Saccharomyces cerevisiae S288C: one gene and its partners. The protein of the gene in region 2 interacts with the protein of the main gene of each other region in a biochemical or structural test. Each region holds a gene or a part of one and is shown on either strand. Other genes may lie near its edges.

Region 1 (3,068 bases), on a different chromosome or scaffold from region 2:
AGACATGGTCAAGGGCATTTGTTGGTCATCACGTGAGCGGGGATCTTAAGTGGCTGGAGACTATTGGTGTCAAATTCCCTGGCAGAGGGTATGAAGGCCATCTGGACCATACGCTGCTTTTGGCTGAAACTCCCGGTGATCTAGACGTGTTCATCTTGGACACTGAGCAGTTTTACAGGAAATCGTATGGCGAAAAGGGCAGCAGTCTGGGCAAGATTCTGCGGTTGTTCGAGATACCGCATGCGTTTCTACACAATGCCGGTAACGATGCCTACTATACCCTGCATTTGTTCATGAAGTTTTGCGATGTTAATTTCAGGAAAATAAGCGGCATGGACGATGTTCTTAAAGTAATGGGCCAAGTAAAAGTTTGGGGAGAACGAGACGTACGAGAGCCTAAAGTGGTGCCCATGTCGTATGCCATCTCCATCGAGGAGGCAGTCAAAAATCGGACGTACCGCAAGGGCGTCAAGAGCAGTAGGAAGGAAAGAGTCTGCCAAACGGAATTCGGTGGGTTAACGTATTTCGGAACTGCTAAAGACGCCTTCACAAGCACTCTTCCGACACACTAAATATATTCATCGATTTTTTTCCTGTAAATACAAACACATGCTTGTATACATATACATATACATATATATAAGCTCATTATAAACCTGTGTGCATGGAAAAAACTTTGTCTGCCCTTAATTTGCAAGAATAGGTTCTAACAATTCCTCCAATTCACCAGTCTCCCTCAATTCCTGCAAGTCGTCGTTGCCTCCAATATGTTTACCATTAATATAGATGTTTGGCACGGTTCTTTGGCCATTAATCTCATATAACGCAGCCTGAATGTCTGCGCCTTCCTTCATGTCATTCAATTGCAAAACCAGAACTTTGGACCTGGGAACCTTTAACTTTTCAAAAAGCGTGTTTAGGGCTGCATGGCAGTATGGACAGTACGTTTTGGATGCGACGAAGATCTCGTTTTCTGCAATAAGGTCCTTGACGTGCTTGATAGTTTCTTGAGATACCATTTTTTTTCCTTCTGAGGTTTTGTCTATTTGTATAATTATGCGAATGCTCGTATAAGTACTGCACGAAGTTCTTTATTTTATGCTAAAGTCCCTTTTTATATTATATAAACTTTTCATTTATTTTATATATTTACTCCTTTCAAGACAAAATTCCCACATCACGTGAATCAGGAGGCGCAAGGGGGGTAGTAAGGCAGTAGTAGATAAAGAAAACAAGCATCGCAATCTGGAAACGCCGTTGCGGCTGCTCGTTATCTGTAGACAGCTCACTTGTGCATGAAGTTCATGTTTTATAGATGATGGAGCCATACTTCAAGGTGATAACTATGAAACTGTTTTGACCTTGACGTGTAAAGTGATCAAGGTAATAGTTAAACTTTATATATGTTGTTTATCAATGTGGTATCCTTTCTAAGGATGAAGACAACACGATTGTGACAGTGTGAGAGAGTGATAAAGCATTGGAGGCAGGCAAAACAAGAACATGGGGTTTCTTTCGGATCATCCGCATACAGCTATCACCGAGACGATCTTTCGAATTGTCTCTTCAAGGGACTATACGCTAGAAGTGGAGTTAGCTCCCTTGATTCAGCTTATCAAAGCAGATCACAACGATTATAACTATACCGTGAACCAAGAAGAAGCTGCGCGAGCACTTAGAAAGAAAATAAAGTATGGGAACCGGCTGCAGCAGTCCAGGACTCTGGACCTCTTGGATCTGTTCATCTCACAAGGCGTGAAGTTTACAGTCATGTACAATGATGACAAGCTGCTGCAAAGGCTGAGAGGGATGGCTACGAACTCTGAAAACAGCGGGTCCGGTGAAAAGTATGAGCCTAGGATTATTAAGAAGTGCGCGGCGTATGCTATCTCGTGGCTAAACTATATTACGCAGAACAACCTTGAGAATGCGAGGGCGTATTCAGGTCTTTATCAATTGGGTCAAACAGTCAAACAGAGGTACTCGAAGAGCAGCCGTTCCCGCCGTAGCGGCGGAGGCTCTGGCGGACGGTCTAACTTCATGGATGATAGCGCCGACGACACTTTGTACCAGTCCAACTCGCTGACTAGTGCCGATAGATTGTATAGGATTCCACAGATCAACATGAACAAAGAGGCACCCAGGATTCGGCTCATAATCAGCGATGCTCTCGCGTCTGCTGTGTCGTTACAGAACTCGCTGATCGGGCTGCCCAAGGGCAAGTTCTCCACAGACGATGAAGAGGCCACGTCCAAGTTCATCCAGGCAAGGGCGATCAGAAGGAAAGTTCTTAGATATCTGCAATTGGTCACGGAGGGTGAGTTTCTGGGTAGCTTAATTCATGCCAATGATGAACTGGTGGCTGCGTTGACTGCATACGACGACCGAAGCGCTCAGGACGATAGCAGCGATGAAAGTGATCACGGCTCGTACGATGACGGTATTTATGATGAAAACGAGCAGGATAACAGCAGGTATATTGATAGCGAGTCCTCAGAGGAAGAGAGCTTGTCTTCTTATCAGCCGTCCACGATCTCAAACCCTTTCGGTGATCATAACAAAATTTGAAGAAGTATGTACGTATGCATACACACATATATATATATATATATATAGTACATTTAATCCTTCTTGAGGTTTAAAGACGCACTGTTCACACAGTGTCTGGTGTCCTTGGGCAAGTTTAGCAACTGTTTCCAGCCTTCACCTTCAAACACATGTCCCAAGTGTCCACCACACCTTGCACAACATATCTCCACCCTCGCAGGCATTAAAGAATTGTCACGATGATATGTGATGGCTCCAGGGGATACCTCTTCGTAGAATGCGGGCCATCCACAACGAGCGTCGAACTTGGCCTTGCTCGAATACAACGGTCTGTCGCAGTTGGCACAATGGTAGACACCGGACTCGTTGGTGTGTAAATACGCACCGGTGTTGGGCCTTTCAGTGGCCTTATCTCTCAGCACCATCAGCTGCAATGGTGTCAGGGCATCGTTCCACTTCACGTCATTCGATTCGTCACTCATTTTCTTGCTCTTATTCCAGTACTGCGTCAGTACAATGTT
Region 2 (2,874 bases):
AGTGGATGAGAATTTACAATTAATTAAAGGTGGTGGTGCTTGTCTATTTCAAGAAAAATTGGTTAGTACTAGTGCTAAAACCTTCATTGTCGTTGCTGATTCAAGAAAAAAGTCACCAAAACATTTAGGTAAGAACTGGAGGCAAGGTGTTCCCATTGAAATTGTACCTTCCTCATACGTGAGGGTCAAGAATGATCTATTAGAACAATTGCATGCTGAAAAAGTTGACATCAGACAAGGAGGTTCTGCTAAAGCAGGTCCTGTTGTAACTGACAATAATAACTTCATTATCGATGCGGATTTCGGTGAAATTTCCGATCCAAGAAAATTGCATAGAGAAATCAAACTGTTAGTGGGCGTGGTGGAAACAGGTTTATTCATCGACAACGCTTCAAAAGCCTACTTCGGTAATTCTGACGGTAGTGTTGAAGTTACCGAAAAGTGAGCAGATCAAAGGCAAAGACAGAAACCGTAGTAAAGGTTGACTTTTCACAACAGTGTCTCCATTTTTTATATTGTATTATTAAAGCTATTTAGTTATTTGGATACTGTTTTTTTTCCAGAAGTTTTCTTTTTAGTAAAGTACAATCCAGTAAAAATGAAGGATGAACAATCGGTGTATGCAGATTCAACACCAATAAATGCAATGTTTATTTCTTTGGAACGTTTGTGTTGTTCGAAATCCAGGATAATCCTTCAACAAGACCCTGTCCGGATAAGGCGTTACTACCGATGACACACCAAGGTTGGTTTTTCAAATTTTTCTCCAGTTCTAAAAAATCGGAAACCTCTTGAGGTTTCATTGCATCTTTCAAATCTTGTTTGTTTGCCCATACCAGCAGTACTACATTCTCCATCTCTTTCTCACCTATGATACTATATAACTCTTCTTTGGCCTCTTCCATACGGTTTCTAGCACTAGAATCTATCACAAAGATAAGTGCGGTGGTGGCTGGAAAATAATGTCTCCAGAGAGGTCTCAATCTTTGTTGTCCTCCTACATCCCACATGTTGAATTTTACGTTTTTATAAGTAACGGTTTCCACGTTAAAACCGACAGTGGGAGTAGACGTCTTTATTTTATTTAATTTTAGTTTGTACAATATTGTTGTCTTACCAGCCTTATCCAGGCCTAGCATCAAAATTTTCATTTCTTTCGAGCCAAATAGTTTTCCCAGAACCTTCGAAATTGAATTGCCCATCTCTACAATTAGCTTGTCTTTTCCTTTTTTCCGTTCTAAATCCCAATTATCTTCCCAATGTCAAAGCAACTGTAATGTCTCAGTCTAATTCAGCGTACGTTGCGTCTTACTATGCTTCTGCAAATAGGGTTTTAATGCTGCGTACATCTTCATTATCTTATAAGTGCCATCATTCGGACGGGTAATGGATGAAATCGTCAAAACCCGATTACTTTCTAGTATGTTTTATTTCTGTTTATAATGTAGTCAAAAGAGCTTCAACAGATTTAACATTTGCTTCCGTAAACTTGGTGTTAGGGTGATTCAGTTCTGTGTAAAAGCGTGTGGCATTGAGTTACTCCAATGGATTTTTCTATTCCTCCTACCTTACCTCTAGATCTGCAAAGTCGGTTAAATGAGTTAATTCAAGACTATAAGGATGAAAATCTAACAAGAAAGGGTTATGAGACCAAAAGAAAACAATTGCTAGACAAATTTGAAATCTCCCAAATGAGGCCTTATACCCCGCTTCGATCTCCCAATTCGAGAAAGTCGAAACATTTGCACAGAAGAAATACAAGTCTTGCATCATCCATTACGTCGTTACCTAATTCAATTGACAGACGTCATTCTATCTATCGTGTCACAACTATAAACTCGACTTCTGCGAACAATACTCCCAGAAGGCGGAGCAAGAGATATACAGCTTCTTTGCAATCGTCATTGCCAGGTTCCAGTGATGAAAACGGTTCAGTGAAGGATGCCGTTTATAATCCTATGATACCATTACTACCAAGACACACTGGAGCCGAAAATACTAGCAGTGGAGACTCAGCAATGACGGATTCTTTACCGCTAATTTTACGGGGACGCTTTGAACATTATGATGGTCAAACAGCGATGATCAGCATAAATTCTAAAGGCAAAGAAACGTTCATCACATGGGATAAACTTTATTTGAAAGCGGAGAGGGTAGCACATGAATTGAATAAGAGTCACCTTTACAAAATGGATAAGATTTTACTATGGTACAATAAAAATGATGTCATCGAATTTACTATTGCATTATTAGGCTGTTTCATATCCGGCATGGCAGCTGTACCAGTCTCATTCGAAACGTATTCTCTGCGTGAGATCCTTGAGATAATTAAAGTAACAAATTCGAAATTTGTTCTGATTTCTAACGCATGTCATAGACAATTAGATAACTTGTATTCGTCATCAAATCATTCAAAAGTTAAACTGGTTAAGAACGATGTTTTCCAGCAAATCAAATTTGTCAAGACTGATGACTTAGGGACGTACACAAAGGCAAAAAAAACTTCGCCTACCTTTGATATACCGAATATTTCATATATAGAGTTTACTAGAACACCGCTAGGTCGTCTTTCTGGCGTCGTCATGAAGCATAACATCTTAATAAACCAATTTGAAACGATGACAAAAATTCTAAACTCACGATCAATGCCTCACTGGAAACAAAAATCACAAAGCATCAGGAAGCCATTTCACAAAAAAATTATGGCAACCAACTCAAGGTTTGTTATCTTGAATAGTCTGGACCCTACTAGATCTACTGGTTTGATAATGGGTGTGCTTTTCAATCTTTTTACTGGTAATCTTATGATATCTATCGATAGTAGTATATTACAACGACCTGGGGGCTATGAAAATATCATTGATAAATTTAGAG
Region 3 (4,381 bases), on a different chromosome or scaffold from region 2:
AGATTTTACTTCATATATTTGCCTTTTTCTGTGCTCCGACTTACTAACATTGTATTCTCCCCTTCTTCATTTTAGCCTGTTTGGACTTCATCAATGCACTCGATAAATGCCATCAAAAGGAATATTACAAGAGAATATTTGGCCTTTGTAACAACGAAAAGGATGCTTTGAACAAGTGTCTCAAGGAGGCAAGTTTGAATAACAAGAAACGTGCTGTCATTGAAAGTAGAATAAAGAGAGCTGATGTAGAAAAGAGATGGAAGAAAATTGAGGAAGAAGAATATGGCGAGGACGCTATATTAAAGACTATCTTAGATAGACAGTACGCCAAGAAAAAGCAGGAAAGTGACAATGATGCGAACTCGAAATAAAAGCTTTTTTTCTGTCGCTACTTCATTCACACAAATCATCTCAATATCCCTTGTAAATAAAAGGCAGAGTACAGTTTTCAAGTTTATATTTCTTCAGCGCAGTCTTTATATTTATATCTTTAAATATACTTAGAACTGAACAGAACCCATGGCTTTTTGCAAAGCTTTCAAGTAGCTCAGTCGTTTCTTATATTGATTATTCATATACAAATATCTCGAATTCCAATTATTCATGACTGCTTCAAAATAGTTATCGTCAAAGCTCCAAATTTCGACCAGCTTATCCTTTATTTCGTTATGTTTATCTATCCATATACCAAGCTGTCTGGTGAAGTTCATCAATTCCTTTAGCCTTTCTTTTAGTTCGACCATCTCTACATCTTTCGCATCTTCGTATAGTAGCTCTAGCCCCAATAGTGGCTTCCATTCACTTACAACAATATTTTTAAGATTGAGGGAAGCGTGCTCTGTCAAGATCTTGTCACTCCATCCATATTCTGCGTTAGATACGGCTTCGAATTGTGTTAAAGGAACTGGAGAAATCCTACCTGCCCAGAAGTTGATACAGTCCATAAACTTGTGGGCTTCTTCAACACTTCTCGTCTGGAACTCCAGAACAAGCTTTGGTCCGTTGATATTCTCTGGAAAACTAACGGTAAAGTTGCCACTTTTCCTCTTGGTGTTTTTGTTACACACATTTGATTTCATTGCTCCACTACCTATAATTATATTATCTTGCACGACATGTGCTTCAGCTTCAAGCAGTGAGTAAGCAAAATAAGAGCTACTGATATCTTTGAAATAGTCGATGGTAGCACTGTCTGTTTCACTTGATTGGATGATATCCTTAACATCTGGTTTAATTTTGAAAATAAAAATTCTGCCCTCCTTGACCTGTATTTTCACCCTCTCCCATTCAGAATCCTTATTCAAATACGATAAAGAAGTCCTTCTAGATGTGTGCTCAATAAGTGTAGTCGTTTTAGATGGTTTTAGCCATCCGAAGAACGATTTGTTTCTCTTAGAGGTCATTTTTGGTGCCGCCACTTGATCTTTGTCTCTTTTAGAATATTTACGTGGTAAAGATTTCTTGCTTATAAGAATTAAATCGTCCATGAACCAACTGGAGCCGTTTTCGGTAATTAAACCGTCATCAAAAGACTCTTTAAGGTAGAGTGCATCCATGGGGTGATTATTGTGAAAGTTTTTATTTGATTTTGCGCTCATTTCTCGTACAGATACTTGACCATCTCTTGAATATAGTGTAGTAGAATTAGAGTTAACACTACGTAAATTTGATGTACTAAATTCCCGTGATCCTAGAGTAGAGAACCTTTTCAAGGAAGATTGGTTATCTGATATATTTATTGATGTTCTAGATTCTGTGCATAACGGTAAAGGCGTTTCATTTAACGTTTTATAGTATTCGGAAAGTTCTTCGATGATCAAATGTTCGCGGGAGTATATTTTCAATTCTTCGTATTCATTTTCCTCTCTTAGTGCCCTCAGTGTATTGTTGATAAATGCAACCATGGAAAACTTAATCTTTTTATGGTCAACTTGAAAGTTGTTGTGCAAATCCGAATTAAGGATCAACAGGGAAAATAAGACTATATGACATGACTTATAGCCTGACTTCCAATGTGTGTTCGGGTGGCAAGCTATCCATTCTATGCTCAAGCACTCTAGTATCCGGTCGATATTTTGCGCTTCTGCAATGAAATATATACTTTTCGATAAATTGAAAAGCGTTTCTAATAGTGACGACGGCAAAGGACTCAATAACTTTACAAACTCAGTCAAGACTTGATTATTGTTATCGTTTCCCAAGAAATTTGCATATTCCTTGTAAGATACATCTTTGAAAGTGCCTTCCAAGATCTCTGAGGCAATAAGATGACTATTCTGATCAGTTTCCTCGGATTGAGTGGAGCTAATATCTTCAGTACCAGTCCCCGCAGTGGCGGTATCCGTAGTAGGTATCACAGGTTTTTCGTCATTAGCAGCTTCCTTGTTTTGTAAAATATCACACATGTTGACCATCGTGGGAGACTGTAGCATATTTTTCATGCTAGTGGGCATCGACTTACTACCATGAAGGACGCCCTCACTTTCACTGAAATTGTCATTGTAGCCCTTTTGTGAGACCCCATAGGTGTCATTCTTTTTTACCTCGTTTAAACTGGCGCACATACCTCTTTGCGATCCCTTAATAGTCCATTGACTGCACAAAATTGTACCATCTAGTCAGCCTTACTGATCTCAAAGTTGATCCGTAAGATCAATGAACCGTCTCTATCATCTATAGATATTTTGCACCCAAACATCGCATTTTAAGTTCATTTGATTTAATATAATACATTTGAACATGCCATCGCACTTAGCTGCCATGTATAGGCCATAACTAATCGCTAATTATTTGTTGCAACTATCTGCAAATCTATACGACATATGTACATATGACTTTCACGAGTCTTCATGCATGTTTTAAGAAAGGTCATCGTTATATTTTCCCACGTTTCACTTCGCGTTTTGACTTGCTAAAAAAAGAACGAAAAATTCTTTCTGCAGACCCTCTCGAGGATGATGTAAGATTTAAGAGTAGAGACAAACTAGGTGTTGGCACTTGACTTTAGACTTGCTGTTAATAAGCCTTCCATTGTATACTACCAGGTTCTCGTCTTTTTTGGTGATAAAGTTAAAATAAAAGGATAAAAAATGGCAAGTTCACCGCAGGTACATCCATATAAGAAGCATTTAATGCAATCACAGCATATAAATTTTGATAACAGGGGCCTACAGTTTCAAAACAGTTCGTTGAAGGTAGGTCAAGATTTTTCAGATAATAAAGAGAATAGGGAAAACAGGGACAATGAAGACTTCAGTACCGCAGACCTTCCTAAGCGGTCGGCAAACCAACCGCTTATCAATGAGCATCTTAGAGCTGCGTCAGTACCTCTACTATCAAACGATATAGGCAATAGTCAAGAGGAAGATTTCGTTCCAGTCCCACCCCCACAGCTTCATCTTAATAATTCAAATAATACTTCCTTAAGTTCTTTGGGAAGTACTCCTACAAATTCTCCGTCACCGGGAGCATTAAGACAGACAAATTCGAGTACATCTCTTACGAAGGAGCAAATAAAGAAAAGAACTCGTTCTGTAGATTTGTCTCACATGTACCTGTTGAATGGTAGCAGTGATACCCAATTAACGGCTACTAATGAATCTGTAGCAGATTTGTCACATCAGATGATCAGTCGATATTTGGGTGGTAAAAATAATACTTCCTTAGTTCCAAGGCTAAAAACAATAGAAATGTATAGACAAAACGTTAAAAAATCTAAAGATCCTGAAGTGTTATTCCAGTATGCGCAATATATGTTACAAACCGCACTGACTATTGAATCTTCCAATGCTCTTGTTCAAGATAGTGACAAGGAAGGAAATGTCAGCCAATCTGACTTAAAACTTCAGTTTTTGAAAGAAGCGCAAAGTTATTTGAAGAAACTGAGCATAAAGGGTTATTCAGATGCCCAATACTTATTAGCGGACGGCTACTCATCCGGAGCATTTGGGAAGATTGAAAATAAAGAAGCATTTGTCTTATTTCAAGCAGCTGCAAAGCATGGTCATATAGAAAGTGCTTACAGAGCATCGCATTGCTTAGAAGAAGGACTAGGAACAACAAGAGATTCTCGTAAGTCAGTCAATTTTTTAAAGTTTGCGGCTAGCAGGAATCATCCCTCAGCAATGTATAAATTGGGACTTTATTCATTCTACGGCAGAATGGGTCTTCCAACCGACGTTAATACTAAATTAAATGGGGTAAAATGGTTATCAAGGGCTGCAGCAAGAGCTAATGAGTTGACGGCCGCAGCACCATACGAATTGGCTAAGATTTATCATGAAGGGTTCTTAGATGTTGTCATTCCGGATGAAAAGTATGCAATGGAACTATATATTCAAGCAGCAAGTTTAGGGCATGTTCCTTCAGCAACTTTGTTGGC

What was found. Proteins that work in one complex are often made in the same cells at the same time.
Region 1: the proteins of ARF3 (region 2) and LSB5 form a complex in vitro, tested with the Saccharomyces cerevisiae proteins (one study listed by BioGRID).
Region 3: of the proteins of ARF3 (region 2) and YEL1, one has a biochemical effect on the other in vitro, tested with the Saccharomyces cerevisiae proteins (one study listed by BioGRID).

What each region holds. Positions count from the first base shown.
Region 1 is NC_001135.5:60,155-63,222, forward strand, and holds LSB5 (Lsb5p), read left to right. Parts: upstream 1-1,503; coding exon 1,504-2,568; downstream 2,569-3,068. Other genes in the region: GFD2 (Gfd2p), read left to right, coding at 1-572; dithiol glutaredoxin GRX1, read right to left, coding at 687-1,019; MXR2 (peptide-methionine (R)-S-oxide reductase), read right to left, coding at 2,622-3,068. UniProt on the Saccharomyces cerevisiae protein: Essential for the organization of the actin cytoskeleton, fluid phase endocytosis and vesicle trafficking, together with YSC84.
Region 2 is NC_001147.6:501,123-503,996, reverse strand, and holds ARF3 (Arf family GTPase ARF3), read right to left. Parts: upstream 1,203-2,874; coding exon 651-1,202; downstream 1-650. Other genes in the region: ribose-5-phosphate isomerase RKI1, read left to right, coding at 1-445; CMR2 (Cmr2p), read left to right, coding at 1,545-2,874. UniProt on the Saccharomyces cerevisiae protein: GTP-binding protein involved in protein trafficking; may modulate vesicle budding and uncoating within the Golgi apparatus.
Region 3 is NC_001134.8:106,115-110,495, reverse strand, and holds YEL1 (Arf family guanine nucleotide exchange factor YEL1), read right to left. Parts: upstream 2,565-4,381; coding exon 501-2,564; downstream 1-500. Other genes in the region: CMC2 (Cmc2p), read left to right, coding at 76-371; SKT5 (Skt5p), read left to right, coding at 3,090-4,381. UniProt on the Saccharomyces cerevisiae protein: Guanine-nucleotide exchange factor for ARF3 required for localization of ARF3 to the bud neck and tip and involved in actin patch polarization.